Linked DNA regions of Schizosaccharomyces pombe. The protein of the gene in region 1 binds, or shares a complex with, the protein of each later gene. Each region holds a gene or a part of one and is shown on either strand. Other genes may lie near its edges.

The links. Proteins that work in one complex are often made in the same cells at the same time.
Region 2: cbc1 (region 1) and cbc2 share a complex: the UniProt entries of both Schizosaccharomyces pombe proteins name them as parts of the nuclear cap-binding complex.

What each region holds. Positions count from the first base shown.
Region 1 is NC_003424.3:3,226,373-3,230,569, reverse strand, and holds the start of cbc1 (nuclear cap-binding complex large subunit), read right to left. Parts: upstream 2,061-4,197; 5' UTR 2,038-2,060; coding exon 1,787-2,037; exon of another isoform or gene 1,738-1,786; coding exon 1-1,737. Other genes in the region: tda3 (FAD-dependent amino acid oxidase), read right to left, coding at 2,378-3,114, 3,187-3,528, 3,590-3,641. UniProt on the Schizosaccharomyces pombe protein: Component of the CBC complex, which binds cotranscriptionally to the 5'-cap of pre-mRNAs and is involved in maturation, export and degradation of nuclear mRNAs.
Region 2 is NC_003423.3:3,397,712-3,401,624, reverse strand, and holds cbc2 (nuclear cap-binding complex large subunit), read left to right. Parts: upstream 1-1,526; 5' UTR 1,527-1,551; coding exon 1,552-1,761; exon of another isoform or gene 1,762-1,869; coding exon 1,870-2,077; exon of another isoform or gene 2,078-2,158; coding exon 2,159-2,289; 3' UTR 2,290-2,505; coding exon of another isoform or gene 2,506-3,708; 3' UTR 3,709-3,731; downstream 3,732-3,913. Other genes in the region: nucleoporin, WD repeat Nup82, read right to left, coding at 1-1,007; mitochondrial [2Fe-2S] cluster assembly NADPH-ferredoxin reductase Arh1, read right to left, coding at 2,506-3,708, 3,791-3,913. UniProt on the Schizosaccharomyces pombe protein: Component of the CBC complex, which binds co-transcriptionally to the 5' cap of pre-mRNAs and is involved in maturation, export and degradation of nuclear mRNAs.

The sequences.
Region 1 (4,197 bases):
TTATTAAAAGTGGTGTTAACAAGTGACCACGTATAACTACGAGACCATATAGTCACGTCTTGCTTGATCAACCACTCAATAATAGAGGTAATACTAATTATAGAGTAGTTCAGCATTTTATCTAGCCACATAACTGCGTTGAACGGTTGTAATTTCCAAAATGAAAAAAGTTCATCAACAACCTCTATTTCGGAATCTAATGATTTTCGAGAAAAATGTTTCAATGTATTAAGATGTTTCTCGAACACGTTCAATGCGTGCGAAAACGATCTCGAACCCAAGCTATAAGCACAAGACATAACTAATCGGACAGCAGATGTCTCGGAGTTTTGAATCTCCTCGCTCTGCAAAATAATGTCAAGTTCTTCTAACGGTTTATGTAATCTCAATGCTTCGATAATTTGACTTGACTGTTGATATAGCGGATGAGTCTCATTTTCGTACACGAAATTGGGACCCGACGGTTGTTCGCCAAGCAAACAACGTAACTCTTCAGGGAGTGAGTCAGAAATTCTTGTGTAATAGCTTAAAATAAGTTCCCTAGTAATAGTTTCCCGCATAAAAACTTTTTTTGGATGAAGATCGTCCAGCTCAACGTCAGGAATCCACTCATTCCACTTCCAGTGAAAGTTGAAATTACTAAGGTGATGTGAAAACCAGTCAATAAATCGATCAAGTGTTTGTAAAGGTAAATCAGAAGACATGGTATACATTAGCCGAATGACCCTTCCAAAAGTTGGAGCCAAAATTTTAGGAGCGATACGGCAGCATTCAATCAAAAGCGAATGATAATAGACAGGTTTATACGTAGTATTCTGTGAACCAAGAAGCTCACCCAAAACAGCTTCAACTATGATATCTTCTGCTTTCCAACGTGATTCCGATGGATCTAAATTTGGTAATTCATTTACTGGAGTACCACGAAGAGCAAAAGTTTTGTAGGTAAAATAAACATCTAAATCTGTAAGAACTTGAGCAGCCTCAACTCGGTTAAATTCCAAATGGTTTATAACATCCACACTTATATCACGAAATATGCTGGCTGCAACGTCGGAAGCGTCAGGAGTCGTGCGAATTTCAAAGTTATTAAAAAGCTCAAAAAATCTCTTGAAGGAAGGTAGCTCATTTTGCTGAGGAGTGGGCTGAAACGTCCATTCAGGAATACTTGGGCTAACCGGAACAATATGAACGAAATCAGATTCAAAAAACTTCCAGGGTTGAGATATATAAGGAAAAGTAAAGTCGTTTTCCCGAGATAGAATTAGTTGTTTATAGAGTAAGTCCAATTCCTCCTCTGAAAGATTGTCATGTATTGAAAGGGGATTACTTAGAGTTATCGAAGATTTCCTATGACGAACGTAAATCTCACATTGATCCAGTATCTCATTAGCAAAATCCTTTTTACCGAGATCGTTGTTAGCTGCGATGAAATATGGAAGGTTTATCAAAATTATGCGCAGGAAATTATCTCCCCAGACACTGGGTTTGGTTTCTTTTGAGATAGCGTCAGCCAGTAATGAAAATAGTGGCTTAAGGGTACCTGGTTGAAGTGCAAATGACATGCAAATGAGCATTCGTAGATCGACTTTAGCCTCGTAATAAAGAAAGGAGTTTAAATTCGTAAAATACTGTAAACAAAAATACGCAGCTGCTTTTTCTAAGATTAAAGGAACCCTTAATGAGGCTCTTATAATTAATGTAGCCAAATGAGGTATTTTGACTGGAATGATAAATGCACTAAGGATTAAATTAGTTTTCTGAAGGGACAGTATAAATTATCACTTACGTTGTCTGAATGCAATCTAAGATAGTTGAAATGGTTTCAGGATCATTAGCTTCACGACTAAGAGACATAGCAACATAATTAATGTCATCAGCAGCTACTGAATTTCCTCGAGGATCCGCCAAAAAGGTAATATCCTTTTTTATACGCGCTGCAAGTAGCTCTTGAGAGTTTCCTCTATGGGGACGAAATCCATAATTCTCTCCCTCTCTCGTCCTCTTTCTGGGTCGAGTTGATCCCCGATAAGAAGACATTTTGTGAGGAATGTTAGTGTCTTACTGTTGTTGGCGTATAGCAGAATTGTAAAAACACGAGCAAGTGTTCTCAAGTAACAATCAACTTAGAGGTAACGAATGGTATACTAAGTCGAGATGGAAATTGTAAAACAAAAAAAAAGAAAATCGATTTTCCAATGCGATAAAAACGAAAACCTTAATAAATATGATTAGAAAATTTTACAACACTGTAATATTCTATTTCGGTAAAGGAATAAGCATCCATTCTGCTTCTATATTTTCACCTTTCAGTGAATGAGTCCTTCGTTTTTTTTGACAAACAATTAAAACAAAAATTAGAGGATATAATTTGAAATCCTCATTCACCGAGATTTAAGTGAAAAGGATCTGTGTTTATGCTTGTTTTTTCCTTGCCAAGGAGCATTTCTGCCATACATAAACCCGTGGCAGGAGCTTGAGTTATCCCCCAGTTGGCGTGACCCGCTGCAACAAATACACCAGACTTGGTTGTTGATATTATCGGGATACCTGTTATTCTACTGGTAGGAAGGAACTTAAAAGATGCGTCTAAGTAGTTACTCTTCGTATTCTCCGAGAGCACCAAATCGGTCATTTCTTTCAATTCGATAATTTCAAAAGGATTAAAAAAACATCGATTACTATCTTTTGGCAGCAAATGGAATTTTGGAGTTCCCATAAAAATAAGCTGCTCCCGGTTTTTACTGAAAATTTCGGTTGTTTTGCAAATGTTTAGATTACCCATGGTATTTAAACAACACACAACAATGCTGTCGCCAACGGGAAAATTTCCTACCGATAGGTGAATTATGGGAATGCATAGACCTGCAATACCAGTAAATGGTAATAGATAACCAGTCCAAGGCCCAGCACTCACCAGCGTTTTATGCACCTGTGCTTTTATTATTGTATCTTCAGCTTCTTGTTTTGGAACGTATGTAATATGGTGTTTACTAACCTCTTTCACACTTCCAAATATAAACTTTACTCCTCGTTTTTCTATTTCTTTTGCCATAAATTGACAAAACAATTTTGGATTGATCATTGCAAAATCGTTGCCGGAACCGATACTAGAACCTAAATGGTTAGTCTCTATATGACTTATACAATAAAGTTATTATTTTTTTTTGGTAGCACTTATGAGCTTACATTTTTGCATGCGCTCTCGTTGAAGCCATTGCAAAGTATCGGGAACTTTGGCAACATTGGTATTGTCCCATTTCATCTTACAAAACCAAGAATTGGCAGTCCTATATTCCCAGTTTTTCTTCCCATCAAATTTTTTATCCAATCCTTCATAAAGCTTCAAAGCGAGAGTTGAAAGTGGCTGTATGATTTCATTCTGGCACAGTTTTGTCAAGATTGCAGAATCAATGCCGGAGCTACCTCCTGCTATTTCTTTTGATTCAAATATAAATATGTCCAATTCTCCTTTTTTGTATTCTTGTTCTTCTGTTAAGTAAAACGCCGTACAAATTCCAATAATGCCACCTAAAAATCATCGTCAGCATGCTCACTCATCATTTATGAAACTGTTGTTCTCCAAAATTACCTCCTACTATTCCTATCTTTGTCTTATTTCCTTCTCTACTTGTAGCGCTCATATTTGAAGTTGGAAAGTTGACTTGAAACACAATCATCTTGCTGTAACGCTTCTAAACATTACGTTATCCTCACCAGTATTTCCTTCAATCTCTCTTATTTTTTTACCATTTTGAGAATAAAATAAATAGCAATAATAATAATAACAAAACGGTTCAATATTCAACAGTTTTTGCCATTCAGAATGCCTTTCATAAATTGCTATGGCGAGATATACGATTCTTTCATGAATACCAAACGATTGTAAAAAAGGAAAAAAATTACAAAATACTCCTCCTAATCTATAAAGTCAAGTTCGCATAAACAAACGGATTTTTAAATTTTTGAAATGCCAGATTCACATTCTTCAGATAGTTTACATATTATTTACACATGCCTTAATTAAAATTACTGCAACCAGTTCATTGAGTTGTAATTATATTTTGATTCCAAATAATCTACTGAAAACAGCTGTACAGCTGTATATGCAGAATGGTATTTCCAAAGCATAACAAATATTAGACATTTCACAACAATGATAATTGTTAAGCGATATCATCTTGAAAAGTTTATTTTACC
Region 2 (3,913 bases), on another chromosome or scaffold:
ATAAATGAAAAATCATCTGGTCTACGAACAGATACATAATCAGATGAATCAAAAAGTTCAGAGCTACCTTCGGATATAACAAATGAGGTACTTAAATCGTTTGCAAGTGCTGCTTCGCCTAATAGTTTAGTAATCCAATGAACATTTCTACGATGATTTTCCGCATCAGCATCGTCCTCTTTTTTAGTTAAAATTAATCTAATTTGTTTCAAAACGTCTTGGGGTATCATTGCATTTGCTGGCATTACCGGGCAAACGCTAAAAACATCTCCTCCTCGGGTCAGAATATAAATTGTAAATACCCCCCACCCTTGAGAAACATTGCTAAAGCAAAAAGCGGTCGGTATATGCAAATCTACATCGGCATCAAATGAATTGGAAGCCTGATGCGTCAATTTAAGAGGAATCTCATAATCGGGCATTAACACTCCATTTCCAGCCTCATAAAGCAAGAGTGAAGTTTCAGTTAATACAACCAAAGATCTTCCGGACTTCCCCAGTGGGTGAAATCGAACGGAGACAATTTGAGAAGAAGGATTAATAACTGCAACCGAACAAATGGTAACCTCCGATAATTTTAATGAGTTAGTCCCGTTTTCCTGGTGTTCTGAATTTGAAAAATTGTTAACAGATTCACCAAAGTTTGAAACGGACTCTGCAAGTGGATTTTGTTCAGATAACTTTGATCTCAAACCCAGTATAACAATTTTTGATTTTCCTACCACTGCTAGAAATCGGCCATTTTTACTAAGGCAAATCTGTTCAATCATAAAGTCTAATTCTGGATTAAAAAGTTTTTTGTAAAAATTCTTATGAGATGCTTCATTTTTATGTTTTAAGAGTCGACAATCCAAGCTTCTGACTTCTTGCCCCACAGCAACGTACAGAAACGACTCAAACGCGCAAAGATGCTTGGGAAAAATTTCCCAATCCTCAGGAATAGGTTTAATCCATCGTAGGGCAGGATGCTTTTCCAAAATGTCTGTCCATGATACCTCTTGAGACATGATGGTTGATGCCATTTTGTTAGTCTTCTGCGAGTATTAAATAAGGAGGAAGAATGCGTCGCTAAATAAATGTAAAAAGTAATACATGTGTACTTTGAATATTAGAATATACCATAATTATTTGTACCTAGCTTGTTATAGGTAAATTAAAAGAACCAGATCTTTGGAGCCTTTTCCTCTTTCTAGCGAAATGCAGCATATGGTGTAATAGTGCTTGAATGCTACTTCTTTTAAAAACATTTAAATGATTTTAGTTTGCGAATAACAGGTATACAAATTCTATACATCAATTACATTATAAGCATTAAGTTTCCTAATATTTAACAGTTTTACTTCATTTAAGATAAAGCAATAAGTTAGCTAGCATAGTTCATTCAAAAAAGCGATTTCCTTAATTCAAATTCTCTTAAAGAACAAATGTAATTTTAAAACCAATTATTATAAGGGTTGGAATTAGCTACATTTACACGATGATTTTTTTACTTTGTAAATGCATAGTACACTATAAAGTTAGACTTCAACCTACAACCACTGCCTAGGAAAAATGGCATCAATAACAAGGTTAGATGCTGTTTCTCCGTATCTCATACGGAGGTTTAAAAACGATTTACGTGCTTTAGATGCTGTGAAACAAAGTAACTGTGTTTATGTTGGCAACCTTTCATTCTATACCACCGAGGAGCAAATTTATGCTTTATTTTCCAAATGTGGTGAGATTCGACGAATTATCATGGGCGTAGATAGATTTACAAAGGTAAGTTTTCATAAAATTCTGTTTATTTGCTCTTCAAGTTCATTACTTTCAAAGTTGTCTTGGAATGCAATCATAGATGCCCGACTTGTACTAATCAAATATTACCAGACACCATGTGGGTTTTGTTTTGTTGAATATTTTGAAAATCAAGATGCTTTAGATAGCTTAAAATACATTTCAAGAACATCATTGGATGAAAGAATTATTCGTGCAGATTTGGATCATGGTTACGAAGAAGGTCGTCAATATGGCAGAGGTGCATCCGGAGGCCAAGTCAGAGATGAAATGCGGGAAGAATTTGATCCTGGACGTGGTGGTATGTAGTCGGATTCTAAAAGAAGCGATATTTAATCAATACAGTCTCTGCAAACTTAATAACATACTAACTTGACTTTAGGATATGCAAAAAATAGGCAACCAACCAGCTCTAGACAGCTTGCAAACTATTCTGGAATTTCTTCTGCTCCTTTAGGATCTTCTCTAGAACTTCAAAGTAATCCAAGATACAATCGTTGGAAAAAAAATTAAAAAGTTAGTTATATAATTCGGACTTTAACGAGGTATTGGAAGATTCACAGGCACTTCTTACTATTTATTCCGGAATTTTTAGAGTTGGTCCATTTTAAAATGCTTTACAAAGAAATCTGTAAGACCAGCTTGCGATATATTTTTTTGGCATAAGACTTATTTCATTATACAAACCAATATTCAAGTTACAAATGATTTAATTAAACTATGCAGTATCTATTTTTTACCGGGATATATTAGTTTAATCATATCTTCATTCGACCTGAATTTTTCACTGAGAGACTCATGCCTAAGACCTCTTTCAATTTCTGCATTTCGAATTACCTTCCAATCTTTCCAGTGAATTACAGGTGTTTTAATGTTCTTTTTTAAGCCATCCCATCCTAGCTTACTATTTTTGAGAAATTCCTTTTTGGATTTCCAATCCTTAGTTATTGTATCCGCTGTAGCAAATGCATCCATCATGGTCGTAGCAATGACTCCAATTGGCCCATGTTTCACCCATCCACTAGTGTAAATGCCAGGACGAACAAATCCGTTAACATTTTTTACAATTCCTTTTGCATCGTCGAATGGAACGCCAACGTCTTTCATTCCAGGCAAGGGCATACTTTTATACCCTATACTTCGGATAAACAACTGTGCGGGTATGGTTGTAAATTTTGACTCAGCATCTGTTCTTATGCTATCTGTAATCTGAAAGCGAACATTTTCAACATTTCCCTTATGTCCTAGAATCTCAACAGGTGTTAAGCCAAATTCCAAATTCCAACATTTCTTGTCTTTTGAATAAGGGGCTACTCGTTTCTCTGAAACAGCTTTCTGGATTTCGGAAACTAATAGCTTTAACAATCTCTTTCTAGGTCTATCCAAACCGCTTGCATCTGTTTCATTCATCCACTTTGTAGAATAATTAAAGGAAGGAGCAAAGAAAACTGCACTTGATAGGGCAAACAGTTCTCTCAATTCTTTGATAGTAAACGAGACAGAAAATATGTTTCTTCTTCCTACAATGTGTAATCTTTTTAAATTGCTTCTTTCAAGTGATTTGAGGAACAATGGATTAATGTCAGTTGGGGATAATTGAGCAGGATTACTTAAAAGGATTCGAGCTACATCAAGTGAAACATTACCATGTCCAATAACTACTGCATCCTCTACCTGACTTAAATCCAACTCAAGATTTTGATTTCTGGGATCACTGTTATACCAACCCACCACTTCTCGCGCACTATAAACACCTGACAAGTCCTCCCCTGGAATTCCCAGTCTCTTGTCCCCAGCAGCTCCATAGGCAAGGACCAAACAATCATAATTTTTAGTCAAATCCCGTAAAGAAACATCAGTCCCAACGTTTACGTTACCAAGGAAGCGAAATTGTGTAGACTCAGCAATTTCGGAAAACTTGTGTTCTACATGCTACAATAGAGGTTAGCTGTATAATAAATTTAATAAGATCCATTTTTAAACCAATCAATATTTCTTGGCTTAACAGACTTACCTTAACTTCTGGATGATCTGGGGCAACTCCATAACGTACAAGCCCAAATGGAACTGGGCGGGATTCAAACATATCTATTTTGACATTTGGGTCATTTCGTAAGAGTCTGTGGGCTGTGTAAAA